Linked DNA regions of Callithrix jacchus. Each later gene encodes a partner of the first gene's protein in a complex. Links are inferred from orthologs where the notes say so. Each region holds a gene or a part of one and is shown on either strand. Other genes may lie near its edges.

Region 1 (9,176 bases):
GCGGCTGCAGAGACGCGCAACCTCTTCTCATCGGCTCTTATGCAAGTTGGGGCCAGGATTGGGGAGGGGCGCTCCTCAACGGGAAGAAACCGAGAGGCCCGCGCCCCGCCGAGGAAGCCCCGCCCCGGTGCCTTTGCTGGGAAGCAGGCGTCTCTCCTCAGTCGGCTTGTCGCCTGCTCCCCGTATCTCATGGCTCCTCGCCAAAGACTGAAATTATGGAGCTGGAGGGCGCCCCCTCCCTGGAGTTTCCTCCCTGGGACAGGTCGGGAGGAGGGGGCCCATTCTGGTTTAGGGGGCCGACCTGCTGGGAGGCCCCGGCGCCGCCCTTGACTTTCCCTCCTCCGTCCCCAACTGGCAGACTCCTTCTCTGTGCTCTGGGGCCGGGCCTTGCTGCTTAGCAGCGGCCTCTAGCTCCGTCTCCCGGGGTACCTGGGCCTGCGGGAGGGCTGGAGTCACACGCGCTTTGTTCTTAGCGCCTGTGTGCTCTCCTGTAGGACCCAGGGCCTTTGGCTTCCCCAATTCGTCCTTGGCGCTTCCGCTCCACCAGCCTGGTCTGAGGCATACTGTCCTCAGAGAAGGCGCGGTGGCCGGGTTCCCTTCCCCTAGGGCACGTTACTAAGGGGGACAGGCACTGCATGCTCGTTCCAGCACCATCTGGGACTGGGTACAGTACCTCCAGCCCCAGGGCCCTGACCTGCGTACCTAGTTAGACATCTCACTCACCTCCCAGAGCTGGGGCCACTGAGTACTCCTGACCTCACCACCTTTTTTCCTTTGAGCCTGAGGTAGAGCTGGAGCTGGCACCACCTAGACAGGGTCAGGTGTGGCTGGGGGTAGGTTTGGAGGTCTGCCGGTTATGCCAAGGTCCCCCTGAGATTAGATCAGGGGACTGGATAGATTCAGGTACTCAATCAGTAAGCTGGAGGTGTTAGACGCCAGGCCCCTGCATCCTTCAATGGACCTCCCTCTGAGAACCACAGCCAGGTCCTGCCTTCTGGGGGCCTGAATATTTCGGGGCTAACGTGGTGGGCTGTGCAGAAGGGGGCTGTATCAACATCAATTAGGGAACCAAAGTTGCACTATCTGGGCCCAGATTGTCTGGTTGGCAAGAGCAAAGTTTCCGTTGATGAAACAGACATCCCACAACAAAAACCCAAGTTTTCTGTGCTACATGTGCAATATTTGTTATGAATGTTATGTCATTCATCAAGTTATCTTTATAATCACTGTAGTTAGATGTTTCATGTCCATTCAAGTGACTTTTATTCTGAGTGCAATATTTCAATAGCCTTGTAGTGATAACTAGTGTTGCTTTTGTTTTAGATGATCTATGTGCAGGGCAATGCAATGAAGTTGAAAACCCTTGTAAATAGGAGAGGTTGCAAACCAAATCAAGAGTATTTATTACTATTCTTACTATGATTATTAGGCCTGCCTTTACTTTTCAGCATAAGTGTTCAGTATTCCGCATCCTGCCTCAGTATTGATCTTGTGTTCTTTGTGCCAATATGAAAAGGAGAGGGTTGGTTCTTTCCTTTATTGTTGAATGCTCCCATTTAATGCTTTATGGCTTTTACTGTATTACTTTTTTAGACTCCCATCTGCACAAAATGCAATAAAAATAATTTTATTATACCCTTCATGGCCTGAGATGTGCTGTTTAGACACTCCAGGGGCCCTATAGGACCCCACGTTTTTTTTTTTTGAGATGGAGTTTCACCATGTTGGCCAGGCTGGTCTTGAATTCCTGACCTCAGGTGATCCACCTGCCTCGGCCTCCCAAAGTGCTGGGATTACAGGCGTGAGCCACCACACCAGACCAGACCCCACACTCTTAAATCAGAAACACCGACCTCCACTGACGGAAGAGATGGGCTAATGCCCCAGGTCTGCTGATCTAATTTACATACCGCTAGCTTTGGGGCCCTGGCTTGGAGAGCAGCACTAACATCATCTCCTAAGACTGGTAGGCACTTACTAGGTGTCAGGCTGCACTGACATCTTCCAGGAGGTAGTGAGCACTTTCTAAGTATAGGTGTCAGGCTGCAGTGATACCCCCTTAAGGCAGTGAGCACTCAACACTGTTCAGGCTGTTCTCTCAGCACGTTGATGCCTAACCCATGGGAGGCCTGTGCCACCCACTTCACCACACCCACCCCAAGTTATTCAATGTTCTTCAAGGCTCCTTCGGGTTCTATGGATTCTGCCAACTCCCTGTACAATGGGTTGAACAGAGGGTGGCAACTGAGACAAAATGAAAACAGGAAGTGCCTCTCTACCAGAGGCCACCAACCACAAATGGCCTCCTCACATTCCTGTTTTCCTTTTCTAGAATAAGAGGACAAGGCTGCTGACACAAAGAATGTCTGCCAGAAGCAGGATGTTGAACACAGCACTATAATTAGCCAGTAGGCTTTTGCGCTGAACTGTTATTAAAGCCTCTAACTAGGTGAGCCACCTATGCAGAGAAGGCAGGGTTCTAAGAGGTTTGAGGCCGGATCACATGCTGAGGACAAGAAGGGGCAGACCAGAGTCCTCGACACAGGAGCCCTCACCTCTGACTCGGGGAGTGTTCTGCAAAGAGGATATTCACACCCAAGAAAGATAAACACAGCTTTTACTTTTTGCATTTTAATCAAAAAGTAATCATTTCATTTTATTAACAACACAAGAGTTCCAAAGAGAAAAAAAAAAAAAAAACACTATATAACACAAACAGGTCAGAACATAAAATGCTGCTATTTGGGGACCTTGAATTTTGAAACCATTGTTTTCTCTGCCACTGTCAGGGACTCAGCTGGTCACTGCTCTCCCTCTCCCCTGCTAGAGGATCTCGAGACCATGATCCACAGGGATCTGCTGAGTACAATCCCTGGGGAGAGGGCAGCTTTCTGCGGCTCCACTTAGAACCACAGCCAGAAGCCCTCCCTCTAACAATTTCACTCTGGTACAAAAGTCATGAACAGCCACCTATCTCAAGAACATGTCCAGCTACCAGAAATCTGACATCAAAGTGGTCCCTACCTCCTACTGCTCAGGAAACGGAACAAGAGTCTAGACAAAAATAAGAGCCTGGAGTTTTGAGCCAAAAGCTCAAAACAAATCATTGAAGAAATGAGTGTTCATGGCCAGAGTCTCAGAATTGACTCCATGCAAGTGCCGCTGGAGGGGGATGCTGACAGAACTGGTAAGGGGGAAGAGTGGTGGGGCCCAGATTCACAGTTTGTATTAAACTGCTGCTGACTGGAGCTGTTCAGTCCATTGGAGATCTTCCAATGAAATGAAAACAAAAAATAAAAGAGAAAAAAACAAAAAAGCAACCTTGGCTCAGACAGAAAAATTCTTCTGTAGCTGCCATGGCCATTCCTCAACAATCCAGAGTAGCTGATTTATGAATCTTCGAGCAGATCCCAAACGTGGGGTTGGGGTATGATGACACTGTGCCTGCCAAGGCCAGTCGACTTTTCTTTAACTCTAGGCAGGAGTTGCAGGCAGGAGCTTGAGCTCTGGTCGACATGTTTGAAGCTTGAAAGTCTTGGTAGGTTCACAATGAACAAAGGTGGTGGCTACTGACATGACAAATGCCATTCCAAATGTCGCCAGCTGGGCCTGGCTCCGAAACCAGTAGACAGAGGGACTGGAGAAATCCCATCAGATATAAGCCCAGACACCTGTACTGCCCAAGTGACTCCGGAGATACCTATTTTCTACAAAAATCCAAAAAACAAATCAGAATACAGCCCCAAATGCAGCATAAACTTGGTAAGGAATAAGCAACACAGCCTTGGGCAGGAGAGAGAGCAGGTGGTAGAAGAAACTGATGACACTCAATGTAGACCTGGAGAATGCCAAGAATATCCTCCAAACAACTCTATTTAGAACGCAGTAAGTGGGAGGCCAGGGGATGAGGGGACTGGGGACAGTTGAAAGATTTAGCCTCAGTAATGCCTCTGGTAAGATCCCATGGGGGCCTGTGGCTGCCCCATCTGTGCTGTGGTCTGGCTAACCAGGTGGGAGAGAGCAGGGCCACTTTGGATCAGGGTATCCAGAGCCTTCTGTACACTTGGATTGTCAAAGTTGATGCCTGTGGAAGACACAGGCCTCTGGCTAGCCATGTTGCTAGCAGGTGCCAGGCGACTGGAAGGTTGGCCAAAAAGCCCTTGGGAAGGAGCCCCAGGTCTGGGGCCCATGTTCTGAGCAGATCCTCCCTGTCCCAAAATGCTTGGAGGCTGATTGCCAGAGGCCTGTGATCTTTGCTGAGGCTGGCTGTTTGCTGCTGTGGAAAAATTCTGGTTCGGGGTGTTTCCGGCAGCAACCGAGGGGGATGTAGAGCTGCTATTGGCCGCCACTGTACCACTATTGAAGAGGCTGAGGATTTTGGCCTGAAGCTCTTGCTGGGAGGTGGGGGGTGCAGATGGAGTGGGTGTAGCAGAGGGGAGCACTTGGCCGCTCTGGAGCGGTTGGGAGCTTGGCTGTGTCTTCAGCGAGGCACCCGAGGTCGCCCCGAGTGGTTGGCGGGAAATCGGGCCTGGAAGACAGAAGAGGGAGGTATCTGGTTCAAAGTACCCCCCAAGGGCAGGAGGCCTAGCAGCCAAAGGAAGAACAACAATCACTGAGTCACATCAATCATATAGTACACAGACAATAACATCAATTTCCCAAGGGGCTACATCATGATATATGCTATTTACAGAAAACAATAGGTTAGTTCTCCTAGAGAACTGCTAAAAAACAAAAGGGCATCCATCCTGGCTACCAGGGATTCAGCAATACTAGTCAATCCACCACATTAACTACGGGGATCAGCATTCAGTACCCAAATAATAAAAAGTTATTATTAACATTATAGCAGCAATGGATGGCCCATGGAAGAACCCAAGGGATGGACTTATTTCCCTTACCCACTCCAAACAGCCCTGGGCCTGACACCCTCCCAACAGAGCCTGGGGATTAGAGAAATGCAGAGTCAGAACTTCACCTCGGCCCTGCCACGTAGCTCACCAGGCAGAGAGTCGGTGCTGCTCCTCATCAGCCGCTCCTTCCGCTCTCGCAGGTAGTTGATGATCTTGTCAGTCTCTTCGGCAGTGAGGTACCTGTTGTCTGCCAGCAGGTTGATGAGGCTCTGGATGGCTGGAGGGTGGCCCCCGCGCACTCCCTCCTCAGGGCCTCCTCTCTCTCTTTCCTGCAGGATGGCTTCATCGGCCATCTTGGCTGCCTGTCTGGCAATCTCCTCACGTTCCTTCTCCCGGCACTCATTCTTGTAACGCTCATAATTTCTGGCCACCAGCACCATGGCATCTGCCTGGGGCATGTTGCGATGCTCTGTAGGAGGAAATGACATGAGTTATTTTCTTTCATGACATATTTAAGTGCCCGCCTGCTGCCTCTATCAAGTCTTTCCTAACCTTATACCAGCAAGAAAATCACTTTGGTGACAAAAAGGCTTGAGATTGAGAGTAGGGTGGTGTGGGTGGACAGATGAAGGGCAGGAAGGGAAGTGAATGGATACCTTTGGTGGGAGCATGCACCTTTGTATACAGCTGGTTCTTTGGGGGAATTCCTAGATCACAGACTTGCAGTAGTAAAAACCAAAGAAACATGACAGCCTCCTGCAGATTCAAACAGGCCATGTGGGGAACAGCCCCGGGAGGCAGGCCCAGCAGCCTCTAGACCAGCAGCAGGAGGCCAACAAGGCCCTCTGGAAAGCTGGGCTCTCCACTGTGCTCCTCAGGACAAAGCTGGCCTACTGTTTTTTAATTCATCAGTTCAAAAGTCATGGATTTAAGATCAAATTGTGACCCTAAATAACCTCCTCTCCTCACCCATGGGAAATACGGTTTACCGGGTAGTGAGAGGACTCCTCAGAACTTTTGTCCTCACACATCTTGGGGACTATTCCTCAGACGGACAAATGATCCACTGGAGATCCTTACGTAATTGTATGGTTATGAGGATAAGGAATGAGGCCAACAGAGATGCTGAGTGTAGTGGGAAAACAGTAAGTCTGTGCTGCAAGAGGAGCAGGGTATCAGCTGGCCGAGTCTCAATCCTCTGGGTTCAGTGCTTGAAAAGCTACTTCTAAGAAGGACTTCGAGAACTGGTCCTGGGCCTCTACAGGGTCAAGGCCTCTTAGTCCCTCTGGTAACTTCTCATAGCCCTTCTGGTTACTTCTCCAGCACACTTATAAAAAGGATCCTAAATGCCTGTTATATTATCTGTCCTCCATTAGAAAGCTGGGCGAAAGTAAGGATTTTGTCACGTTCATTGGTGTACATGCCAGAGGTGTGCTGGAGCCAGATCTCAGTGGCAAGAGCCAACTGTGCACATTTCTTTCCAACTCTCCCTTCAGTGACTTCATGTTGGTGGTTTGAACTGAAACATGGTGGGAGTATGTATTCCACGGAGATCAGCAAATGCTATAAATGTCCTCCCCCCGTCCCACAACTTGTTGTTAAATATTTGTCAGTACACCACTGTATATACCTAAAGCTAAGTATAATGTAACAGATAGTAGGCCCAGAACTGTATCCACTGAGAGACTATCAGATAACAACTATGCAGCACTCTTCCACGGTACTTAGAGAGGGGCCCTACCATGTATGAACTGGGATATAAGAGTCATTTGCCCAAAACCTGGTTCTTCTGAGTAAGGCATAAAGGACTAATAATGGACTAGTCACTACCTCTGGTATTTTGACCCACTTAGGCCCCTGTACCTTGCGGGGTTCCAAACATGATGTTGACTGTGCAGGAGCGGTGAATCTGGTGTTGCTGGGTGATGACAATAGCAAAAGGAGAACCTCCCCTGCTAACATCCTCCAAGGCTTGTGACAATGACACCTCTGTGTTGAGGAAGATCAAGTCCACTACCATGCCCAGGTCTCGCACCTTCCGCCCCACAGACTCAGCATAGTCTCTATAAAAACAAACAAGATCCAGGTAAGTGACCAACTCCAAACCTGCATTGTTGTGTCTCAAGCCAGCTGTGTGTATTCCTACTAAGAACTCAAACTGTAGTCCATCCCAAAACCATCTTTAGGATCTAAGGATCTAGATCAATTCTCTCTCTATACCCTGGCTCAGAATGGCTTGACCTGCTTGAGGTCATATCAGAAGTTGCCAGTAGCACAGTAGGATATCCAGGTCCTTCTATTGATTTTCTAGCCCAGTGGTCCTTCCTTAACAACATCCAGCTCCCTAAGACTTGTGACACTTATCTCTTTTTGGGTAGGCTGCATAATACAGTGGGAACATAATGGGCTTAAATGACAGAAACATGGTTTTGGATCCCAGCTCTTAGCATCTACTTGCAAAGTTCTGAACTTTTAGTCAAGTCCATTTACCTCTTACAAACATCAATTTCTTTACTAATAAAACAGGAATAATATGGCTCAGTTCATATGTCATTTCTTTCACCTTCCCTCCAATCTAAACTAGACCTCTGATACTCTTTTCTCATAGGACTCACAGCTGTATGCTTTTGTCACCTGCCCCATTAGGGTGTAAGCTCCACCAGTGGAATGAGACTATGTAGCCCCAGTACCCAGCATCTGCCACACATACAAAAGATTTGCTGAATGAATAAATTTTATGTGATTACTGTGAAAATTAAAAATAATTTACGTAAGGGGCCTAGCATGGGGTAGTACACAAAGTAGGTACTCAGAAAATGACAGCTATTATGTGTCCAGAAAAAGCTCCTACAGTTAAAAGCAGCATCTATTGCTGAACAAGACAGCCAAGAGCCTGTGAACTCTGCCTATTACTTGGTGTCTCAACACCTATTTCCCTAGTCACTGCCTTGAAATTAGCTCTTTAACCCCAAACTGCTAGAAAATACATGAAGTTATTTACTTAGTACTACCTGGGGAAAGGGAATATAGCTACTGCCAAGCCTGCAAGCTGCTATACTCCCTTCTGCTTCTCTGCTCTGCCTCTTCAAGGAGAAAATGTAAAACAGGGATGCAGTGAAACAATGCTGTGAGCCCTAGCTTGGTAACATGGTCATTTAACAGTTCTGCAAGGCCATGGCACTTCATAAAGACTTGGTTCTTGGCTGACAAATGCAGAGATGTGTCTCCCAAAGTATTGGGCATTCGGGTTGTCCCATGAAGGGGTTATCTACTGCTTTGCTTGACCAGCATCTAGACCCTCTTCCACTCTCAGTCTGCATGGTTCCACAGGGCTAATCCCACCTCTAGCTCTTGGGATGGGAACATGACAGCCCTGGCCAATCAGAACATTCAGCACCCCTGTCAAAGTGACAGGCTTAAGGATGGGAAAGTAAGTCAGGTCAACCTAAGAAGAATTCCAGAACGTTAGGTAGAAACAATGGGAAAGAGAAGCTCTCTTTCCACTTGGCTTGCTAAGCTAAGAAGACACATGTTTAGAGCCAGTGCCGTTCTGCCTTTCTTCAAGCACAAAACCTGCCTGAGAACAAAGGCAAATCTGAGTAAAGAGGTACTTAGATACTGACACAGAGACCAAGTCTTGATGACATGGTTTGACTCTGGATGTGGCCATGCCTCAACTTCCCAGTTACTTTCTGCTTAAATAAAAAATGTCCCTTTTGGGCTTATGCCTGATTGAATTGAGTTTTCTGTCACCTATAACTGAAAGAACTCTGGCTAACACAGCACAGTAATGCAAGAATACACAGCTCAAATTCAGTGGATAGAGGTGCTAACAGGAGCCTGAATTTCTCTGACTCTTCTCCTTACTAGGGAGAAACACTGAAGGGTTCTTACTTTGTCTGTTTGTTGACCACAATCACAGAACAATCAACGGGCCTTTCGGCATCAAAGCGTCTCTGAATTTCCTCAAAATATTGACGATAAAGCTCTTCTCTACGCCGTTCCTCACGTTTCAAACGCTCTGCAAGACACCACAAGGGTAAACTAAAATAAGGACTGGATCCTTCTATAAAGACAAACCATAGGCCTCATTTTAAATCCTGCGCTATAGGCAAAGGTCATAATACTCTGAATCAATCCCCTGGTCTATCTCCTAAAATAGCTAGTATTAATATTTTTTATTATTATAAATTAACCTAAATGTAATGGTTGGATTAAAGGACATCGTGATTTTAATGCTGTGTCTGACACTCACTGCCAAAGTGCCCTATGGGAAGGCTGTTACTAATTTACACCTCCACGGAGGTAGATCATCTAGTGCCT
Region 2 (9,837 bases), on another chromosome or scaffold:
GGAGTTCAAGACCAGTGTGGACAACATAGCAAGACCCTGTCTCTACACAAAATACAAAAATTAGTCAGGTGTGGCGGTGCACACTGTAGTCCCAGCTACCCAGGAGGATCACCTGAACCTGGTAGGTTGAGGTTGCAGCGGGCTGTGATCATGACCATTCCACCATACTCCAGCTTGGGGGACAGAGAGACCCTGTCTCTAAATAAATAAATAAATACAAAGAATAAGCATATAAATCAAATTTGCTAGTAATTAAAACATACAAAGTAAAGCAAGATGGTTTAGTCATTTGTTAGATTAGCACACATTAAAAATGATTTTTAATGCCAAATGGGTCTGAGAAAATAGTCAAACTATTGAGCACTGGGCAACATAGACCGTATCTCTACAAAAATATTTTAAAATTAGCTGGGCATGGTGGCATGTTCCTGGAGTGCCAGCTACTCAGGAGGCTGAGGTAGCAGGGTTGCTTGAACCCAGGAGATGGAGGCTGCAGTGAGCTATGATTGCACCACTATATCCACCTTGGGCAACAGAGTGAGACTCTTTCTCAAAAATACAATGAAAATAAAATTGTGTATATACTACAATCTAGTTTTGTATGTAAAGGCCAGGCGCAGTGACTCATGCCTGTAATCCCAGCACTTTGGAAGACTGAGATGGGCAGATCACCTGAGGTCAGGAATTTGAGACCAGCCTGGCCAATGTGGTGAAAACCTGTCTCTATTTAAGTAAATACAAGAATTAGCTGGGCGTGGTGGCATGTGCCTGTAGTCCCAGCTACTTGGGCAGCCCAGGCAGGAGAATTGCTTGTATCTGGGAAGCAGAGGTTGCAGTGAGCCAAGGTTGTGCCACTGCACTCTAGCCTGGCGCCTGGCGACAGAGTGAGACTCCATCTCAAAAAAAAAAAAAAAAAAAAAAAAAATTAGCCAAGTGTGGTGGTAGGTACCTATAATTCCCAGCTACTCAGGAGGCTGAGGCTGGAAAATTGCTTGAACCTGGAGACTGAGGTTGCATGAGCCAAGATTGCAGCACTGAACTGCAGGCTGGTTGACACAGTGAGACTCCGGCTCATAAATAAATAAATAAATAAATAAATAATTTTGTGTATAAAACATGGAAAAACATAAAAGCATTAAAAAGACTGAAAGACAGCACTTTGGGAGGCCGAGGCGGGTGGATCACGAGGTCAACAGATCGAGACCATCCTGGTCAACATGGTGAAACCCCGTCTCTACTAAAAATTACAAAAAATTAGCTGGGCACAGTGGCGCGTGCCTGTAATCCCAGCTACTCAGGAGGCTGAGGCGGGAGAATTGCCTGAACCCAGGGGGCGGAGGTTGCAGTGAGCCAAGATCGCGCCATTGCACTCCAGCCTGGGTAACAAGAGCGAAACTCCGTCTCAAAAAAAAAAAAAAAAAAAGACTCAAAGAGTTTATGCCAAAATTTATTCTCTTTTATATTCTCCAGATTTTTTTCACTTAGTTTTTTGAAATATACTTGTTTTGTGTAAGTATGGAAAAGAAATATAAATATATGCACACATGCATATAAACATTTTAAGAATGTGTTATAATAAAAGTGTATTATTTGATACCTTCAGAAATATCCCCATTTTTCTACCTGAAGAAAATTCCTAATTTCATGGTTTGGAAACAGGTATGTGAGCGCTCTTTATAGAGAAATGGAGTTAGCATCTAGAGATGACCTGGAAATGGAGACCTGAAAAGTTGCTGAAAAGTTATGTTGTTGGTTTGCTAGTAGAGTCAAGACCATAGTAATCTTTGATATGTGCCCTACACGCTGAAGAGTCAGGCTTCTTTTAGTTGACTGTGGTTTTACCCTGGCAATTCGAATGACTCTGCTTTCCTCTTCAGGCTCCCGGAGAGAGAGATGTGGGTACCGCCTTGTGCGGAGACAGGGAAATGCCGAGGAGCAGCTGCATTGCGCCGGCAAGGCCAAGAGAAGTGGTGGTCACGTGCCCCGAGTGCGGGAGCTGCTGCTGAGCGCCCTGAGCCCCGAGCAGCTGGTGCTCACCCTCCTGGAGGCCGAACCGCCCCATGTGCTGATCAGCCGCCCCAGCGTGCCCTTCACTGAGGCCTCCATGATGATGTCCCTGACCAAGCTGGCCGACGAGGAGTTGGTACACATGATCAGCTGGGCCAAGAAGATTCCCGGTAGGGCCTTCTGGCTATTAGTTTTCCATGTGCTTGTAGAAAGGCCTGCTGCTAATATTTAAGGGGCAAGAGTACAAAGTAGAGGTCCACGAGCTGTGCCTAGATATTTAACAGTTCCACAGCTGGATTTGTAACTTCTGAGTGCAATATGTTCTTTGCTCCCATCTTGGCATACCTACCTTCAACAAGGCCATGTTCCGATTTAGAATTCTAAGACTCCTCTAAGTTCAGTACCAGACATGGTAGTGCAGAAAGAGCTGTCACCCAGCCGTTTCTATTCTTGACTCCCTTCTTTTCCCATGGACAGATGCATCCCATACTACCTTCCTTGCACAAACCCCATCCTATGTGTCCATGTCTGCTACAGACACCTGTTGGCCACCTTTCATGCCTAGAGGTGGTCTGGGAGGATGGACCCAGGGAACCCACCCAGGCTCTGAAATTGGGCTTGGGGTCATTTGGGCAAGAAATCCTAGGGTCCTGGAACCTGGAACAGGGTTAAAATGATGGGCTCAGCTAGGCGTGGTGGCTCACGCCTGTAATCCCAGCACTTTGAGAGGCCGAGGAGGACGGAATACAGGGTCAGCTGTCAAGACCAGTCTTACCAACATGGCAAAACCTTGTCTCTACTAAAAATACAAAAATTAGCCAGGCATGGTGGCAGATGCCTGTAATCCCAGCTACTTGAGAGGCTGAGGCAGGAGAGTCGATTGAACCCAGGAGGCGGAGGTTGTAGTGCCGAGATCACAACAGAGCAAGACTCTGTCTAAAATAATAATAACTAATTAATTAATTAAAAAGCTGGGCTCCACATTGACCTGTCCTTTGGCTGTGGACTCCTCACCTTGAGAGGAGGGGCATGTTTAGATAGGATGGGGCAGGGTGCAGTATGACTGGTTTGGAAGTGAAAGGTTTGTCAGATGTTAAATAGAATTTTATAAATTATTATTCCAATAGAGAATCAATATTATGTACATAAATAAGTATGTATGGACAAATAGAGTAAATCAGTTACATGAATCCTCAATGGGCCCATAAACTTGGAATGCCATTGAGTTAAAAGTGAGCTTAGTGACTCGTGAGTTATCATTTGGAACCTGCATTTTCCATCCTCTAAAATGATCACTTCTCCCAAGCCCATTTGTAATATATACCTGAAGGGCTGTATGATGCTAAAATTACCAGCCAATTATCATTTGACTTGGTGTTTCTGTGGAGGAGTGAATCTAGGATTCTAACCTAGAATGGCAACACCCCACAATCCCCCTGTGAAAGCTTCCCCATGCCCTTCTTTACAGTCCTTGAAGAAAAGAAGTCTCTTACAAGTTCTGAGCCACTGGGGACATTCCCATGGCCTGGAGAGCAGCAAGTGTACTGGGCAAATGTAAAGATGAGGAGGGGTGAGAAGCTGGGGGGAGAGCAGTTCCAGGTAAAGAGCCCGGGGAACTGAGGCCTACAGTGACAGTATCACTTGGGGACTTTTGTTGGCCTGGGCCCATTTCTTCTGAGCTTCCTGAGGATTTTTTGGTTTCTAGTTGTATTTTGTTTTGTCTAGCATCTTCACCTTTGCCAGAATTACTTTATTTTCTCTGCTTTTTCCCAGAGGAGACAGTGCTGATGCACTTTGCTCTAGTTTTTGCTTTAAATGTATTCCAAACACAGTTTTGCAGGACCACACATGGAGAGCAGTGGTGAAATTAGTTATTACTGAAAGCTGTGCCCCTTCTTTGTGCCATAAGAAATCTGAACTTTTCAGCTGCATTATTCCTTATTAAACCTGGTGTTTTTAAAAATTTTTGGGAAACATAGGCATAGTCTGAAGGCGTGATTTTTCCCCCCTCTCCTAGCTGGCATAGTCATTGTCCAAACAAACAAAAAAGTTATCATCTAGCCCTAATTTTGTTGAATATCTACAAGATTAAGAACCGTGATCTCTCTTGGGTAGGCTATTGTCTATCACTGTGGGTGAGATTGGGAAGGTGTATACACATTAGGAACCTAAGTTGAGCATAGCATGTGGATTTAGAAAGTATTTATCCATCTTTACATTCATAACACCATGAAATTCTCCTTTATGCAAATTGGCACTATAATTGTTCCAAGACTTGAACCACATGTGTTCTCTCTGCCATAGCATCCTCATCTGTAAAATAAGGATGGTAAGAGATCCTGCCTATAGGACATTCCCAGAGATAGGCATTATTATCCCCATTTTCCTATAAGAAAAACAAAGACTTAGTGGGAAATTAAGTGACCAGCTAGCAAGAGGCTGAGCTGGGATTCAAACCAGAGTCCATTTCATGCCAATGCTCTGTCTTTTGTTACCATATTTCTATTACATGGTCCTCTCCTTTTATCATGGCTTGTGGAGGAAGCCCCGGTGTTCTATGCTTTTTTTTAAAGTGCTCCCCTCCCCAGAGGTTACCTGTTTTCAATCAGTATTGTGACCAACATGTGTTATTAGGTTGTCAGGACCTGCTTCGTTATATTTGCTTTTTATTATTATGTTTTTGAGACAGAATCTTGCATCTCGCCCAGGCTGTAGTGCAGTGGCGCCATCTCGGCTCACTGCAATCTCTGCCTCCTGGGTTCAAGCAATTCTTCTGCCTCAGCCTCCCAAGTAGCTGGGATTACAGGCATGCACCACCATGCCTAGCTAATTTTTTTTGTATTGTCAGTAGAGACGAGGTTTCACTATGTTGGCCAGGATGGTCTTGATCTCCTAACCTCATGATCCTCCCGCCTTGGCCTCCCAAAGTGCTGGGATTACAGGCAGGAGCCACTGTACCTGGCCATATTTGCTCTTTATTTATTTATTTATTTTTTTGAGACAAGGTCTCACCCTGTTGCCCAGGCTGGAGTGTGGTGGTGTGATCTTGCTCACTGCAGTCTTGACCTCCCGGGCTCAAGCCATCCTCCCACTTTAGCCTTCAGAGTTTCTGGGACTTCAGTCACCTACCACCGTGACCAGGTAATTTTTTGTAGAGATGGGGTTTCCCCATGTTGGCCAGGCTGGTTTCCAAATCCTGGGTACAGGCAATCTACCTACCTTGGCCCCCCAAAGTCCTGGGATTACAGTTGTGCCTCACTGTGCCTGGGCTATGTTTGCTGTTTAGGATAGAATCACCCAGAAACAGTGCTTCTACCTAGAAGAAGGATCCTAACACTGGATGGGAGATTTTAAGCAATCAGAGAAATCCTTGCTGTTGAGTCCTTGGCTTTCTGTGCGGGCTGGCACTGCTGTCTGCATGCCTCCACCTGCAGCCTCCACCTACCGCATTCCCCAGCGCCTTCTGATCCCAGTCAAGGACTGGGTCAGACAGGCAGCTCCTCTGACTGGCAGCCAAACATTAACCTTCTCAGTAGCGCAGAGGAATGATCAGGACGCAGCTAACGACAGTTGGTTCTGAGCCCAGGTCATAGTGCTTGACAAACTCCAAATGATGTCTCTAGAAGGGGTCCAAGACTGGAAACCGGTTGCGCAGCTTAACTTAAAAGTTTTCTTCCTTTAATGAGCAGTTAATCACATCTATAAAATATTGATTCCCTAATGGTTTCTGTTTTCTTAGTGTTTTAACACTTGCCATTCTATCTCTACAGAAACAGGGAGCTGAGGAGGAGGGGTGGGGGTGTCTCACTACCTTTTACTTTCCCCAGGCTTTGTGGAGCTCAGCCTGTTGGACCAAGTGCGGCTCTTGGAGAGCTGCTGGTTGGAGGTGTTAATGGTGGGGCTGATGTGGCGCTCAATTGACCACCCCGGCAAGCTCATCTTTGCTCCAAATCTCATTCTGGACAGGTGAGAAAAAAACATATTGTGTTTCTTCTCCAACTTGTTTGAGTAAGGTGCTGAGTGAGTGGGAACAAAGTCCTAGGTGCTGCAATTAAAATCTCACACCTGCAGGGCAATTAGAGGATGATGGCATCATTAGATCCTTCAGTGGGTCAAGAACCAGAGAAGGAGAGAGAGAGGATCAAGGATTCAGGGTCCTGTGACTCATTTTTAATCTGAGGTGCATTACAGGCCAGCGCCTTAATAGGGGACTGTATCCTGTAGGGATGTGGCCACTATGTATATAAGTCGACATAGACTTTTCTGCATTAAAAATTCCATTTTCAGGTTACAATCTTAAGTTGTCCTTCTGTGTTTTGTACCTATAGTGACCAATTACATCTGTAGCTTTCTGGACAGGTGATAATAGTCTTAAAAATCTGCCAAGTTTATTTTCATATGCTTTAACTCATTCTTTTTTTTTTTTTTTTTTTTTTTTGGAGACAGAGTCTTACTCTGTTCTTCAGGCTGGAGTGCAGTGGTTCAATCTGGCTCACTGCAACCTCCACCTCCTGGATTCAAGTGATTCTCCTGCTTCAGCCTCCCAACTAGCTGGGATCACAGCCTGCCACCACGCCAGGCTAATTTTTGTATTTTTAGTAGAGATGGTTGTACCATGTTGGGCAGGCTGGTCTTGAACTCCTGACCTCAGGCAATCTGCCCACCTTGGCCTCCCAAAGTTCTGGGATTACAGGTGTGAGCCACTGTGCCCTGCCTGCTTTAACTCATTCTAATGCATGTACTACATAGCATTTTTCACAATAGTGGTGAGAGGAAGAGTTACTAAAACCACATGAAACTTAACAGAAATTGGGATGTGTTGCTATAACTTGGTTGCGTTTGATTTTCTTTTAAAGATGACATGGAAAAGGAACCAATTTTTAATTGACTTAGGTGAACTGTTTATGGAGGGAAACCTGAACTATATAAAAACACTCAAGTTTTTTTAGCGGGAAAAGTAGACTACCTTCTTGGTATAAATTTGAGCAGTTTGAAAATCTTCATGGAAATTGATTTCCACACCTCTTTTATGGAAAAACTGCTAGTGTTGAGTGTTCAGCCACATCTGACTCTGCAGAGTGGGAGGATGGCTAGTGCCTACCCCAACTCTTTCATTATTATCCTGTTACACTTTAGATCATCAGAAGACCCTGTGTTACACAGATGAAGAGTGATACCCCAAGGTATCAGTCTCATCTGCCTTTTGTCATGGTTGACAATGTTATTAAAAGAGAACTGTTCTGCATAATGAAGGTGTTTTGATAGAGAACAGATCCTTAGGGAAAAGCTGGAGGACTGATGTGACTTGAACAGGAGCAAGCCTAGGTGGTGAACCACACAGGGAGGCTATGGAAGCCCAGAGCAGTGCAGGGCATAAGACCCTTCAGTAACAAACAAAATGGCTAACCTATTGGCCTGTTTGTGCTTGGCAGCACCTTACATTGTGCTTATGTTGTGACTTATGTTGACACATTTAATCTTCACAATCTTCCTACACTCTTTGGGGGAATAAGCACCATTATTATCTCTGTCATTCAGGTATTAGAAATGGGAGATTAAGAAACCTGCTTACAGGACCAGGCACGGTGGCTCACGCCTGTAATCCAGCACTTTGGGAGGCCAAGGTGGGTGGATCACCTGAGGTCAGGAGTTCAAGACCAGCCTGGCCATCATGGTGAAACCCCATCTTTTTTTTTTTGAGACGGAGTTTCGCTGTTGTTACCCAGACTGGAGTGCAATGGCACGATCTCGGCTCACCGCAACCTCCGCCTTCTGGGTTCAAGCAATGCTCCTGCCTCACCCTCCCGAGTAGCTGGGATTACAGGCATGTGCCACCATGCCCAGCTAATTTTTGCATTTTTAGTAGAGACAGGGTTTCACCTCGTTGACCAGGATGGTCTCGATCTCTTGTCCTTGTGATCCACCCACCTCGGCCTCCCAAAGTGCTGGGATTATAGGCGTGAGCCACGGCGCCCGGCCTGAAACCCCATCTTTTAGAAGTAAATTAAAAAATTAAAAAAAAAAAAGAAAGAAACCTGCTTATGAGTGGAATAGTAGCTGGTGGAGCTGGACTTGGGGGGTTGCCATGGCAAACTGTCTGTTCTGCCTGTTGTCATCAATAACAATGTTGACAAAGAGCACATCCTGCAGAACAGAAGTGTGTTGGTAGAGAATAGCCCTGTTCTACTCCTAGCACACCGCAGATACCCGCTCCTCCCGCTGTCATCTCAGGGTACCATGTTGCAAGGCAGGCTGAAAAGCCAAGCACAGTAGCCAAGCCGTTGCTCTCATTCATTCATTGTATTCCACTTGGTGTTTTAACTGGAGCCAAGTATGCATATGTATAAATATACACATATAATTCTCCTAGAAGTTAGTCCTAGGAAGACGTTCCATCCCTTCACGAATCGATTAATTTACAGACATTGGGATTAAATTATCTTTTGTGTTGATTTCTAAATTGATGGCAAATTTAGTGTTTATTTTTGGTGACCATTTCATTCCTGGTTTTTAGTACAATTAACTCTCCCTTTTCTCTGCATGGGTTCTCTAATTCCTGTAAGTGTGTGTATACATTACTGTAAGTGGACACAAATTCTGGAAAAATATTAGGTCTACCTTTTAGTTAATAGAAGAAAAGTTATTTTTCTTACTAATTATTTCTAATAGACTCACACTGCCTTTATAACTTATGTGAAAGTATTATGTTTTGTAACATATAAATCTAGTACATTTGATTGAGTATAGAAGAGGAATTCTTGGGAATTTAAAATGCATTCACATTGAGCAGGCATTTTGTTTTTTTGGAATGACTATTGGTGTTTATTTTTTGTTGCAATCTCTAGTAGTTTTTGTTTGTTTTTGAGATTGAATCTCACTCTTTTGCCCAGGCTAGAATGCAGTGGCGCAATTTCGGCTCACTGCAACTTTCACCTACCAGGCTTGAGCAATTCTTATGCCTCAGCCTCTTGAATAGCTGGGATTACAGGCATGTTTCACTCTTGGCCAATTTTTGTATTTTTTTTTTTTTTTTTAGTAGACACAGGGTTTTACTCTTTTGGCCATGCTGGTCTTAAGCTCCTGACTACCAGTGATTCTCCCACCTCAGCCTCCCAAAGGGCTGGGGTTGCAGGCGTGAGCTACTGTGCCCAGCCTACAATCTAGTATTTTTAACATATTAACTTTGTGAAGTCTGGAACTTGAAGTCTAAGCTAGTTCAGTTACTTAGTCATCTTTTATACAGATAAATATAATTTTATGTAATAGGTGTATTTCTGGAGGAGTTGCTCATTCAAAAAGTCAGGAGTCATGCTCCTTAAAGAAGTTCTATTAGGACTCTTTTTTGCAAAGTGACTAGATAATCTTCACACCATTTGAAAACAACTGTCTTCTGGATTGTCCTAGCAGAGTTTCTTCCAGTGGTAATATGGCTGTATAAACAGTGATTACAACTAACAGCACATTTGTGGATACTGAAACTATGATTTCTGTTTCCCTTTAATCTTGTTGAGGCATCTGCAACAAGAAAATTTGTTGCTACTGAGGATGAGAGGAAAATCTAGTTAGCTCAGCTTATTTCTAAGCATTTAGTTCTTTTGCTAACTACTAAATTCATCATAAATGCTTGTGAAGATTACTTGCTCAAAAAAATCACATAAGCAAAGACATTTTATGTGTCCTTAGTATCAACAGGCAACTGACTAATGTTAAATTATTAAAAAGTCAGAGGAAGTTTGTATCTGAGCTTGGACCCATCATGGACACTTGTAGACAGTTCCATGGAATTGTATATGTATAACTGTCTTGAGTTTACATTCACATTAGTTGTTT

The links.
Region 2: the proteins of NCOA5 (region 1) and ESR2 are in contact, whole or in part, in a crystal structure (PDB 4ZI1), measured with the Homo sapiens proteins. The link is inferred for Callithrix jacchus from reciprocal best matches to the Homo sapiens genes NCOA5 and ESR2. Residues at the interface, in NP_066018.1 of Homo sapiens: Ser344, Leu345, Ile346, Leu348, Leu349, Ala350, Asp351; in NP_001428.1 of Homo sapiens: Ile310, Lys314, Phe319, Leu324, Gln327, Val328, Leu331, Glu332, Leu490, Glu493, Met494.

Annotation. Positions count from the first base shown.
Region 1 is NC_133506.1:41,296,515-41,305,690, forward strand, and holds the end of NCOA5 (nuclear receptor coactivator 5), read right to left. Parts: intron 8,875-9,176; coding exon 8,748-8,874; intron 6,917-8,747; coding exon 6,717-6,916; intron 5,323-6,716; coding exon 5,002-5,322; coding exon of another isoform or gene 4,979-5,001; intron 4,529-4,978; coding exon 3,939-4,528; 3' UTR 2,616-3,938; downstream 1-2,615. UniProt on the Homo sapiens protein: Nuclear receptor coregulator that can have both coactivator and corepressor functions.
Region 2 is NC_133509.1:98,916,964-98,926,800, reverse strand, and holds part of ESR2 (estrogen receptor beta), read left to right. Parts: intron 1-1,877; coding exon 1,878-2,177; intron 2,178-5,834; coding exon 5,835-5,973; intron 5,974-9,837.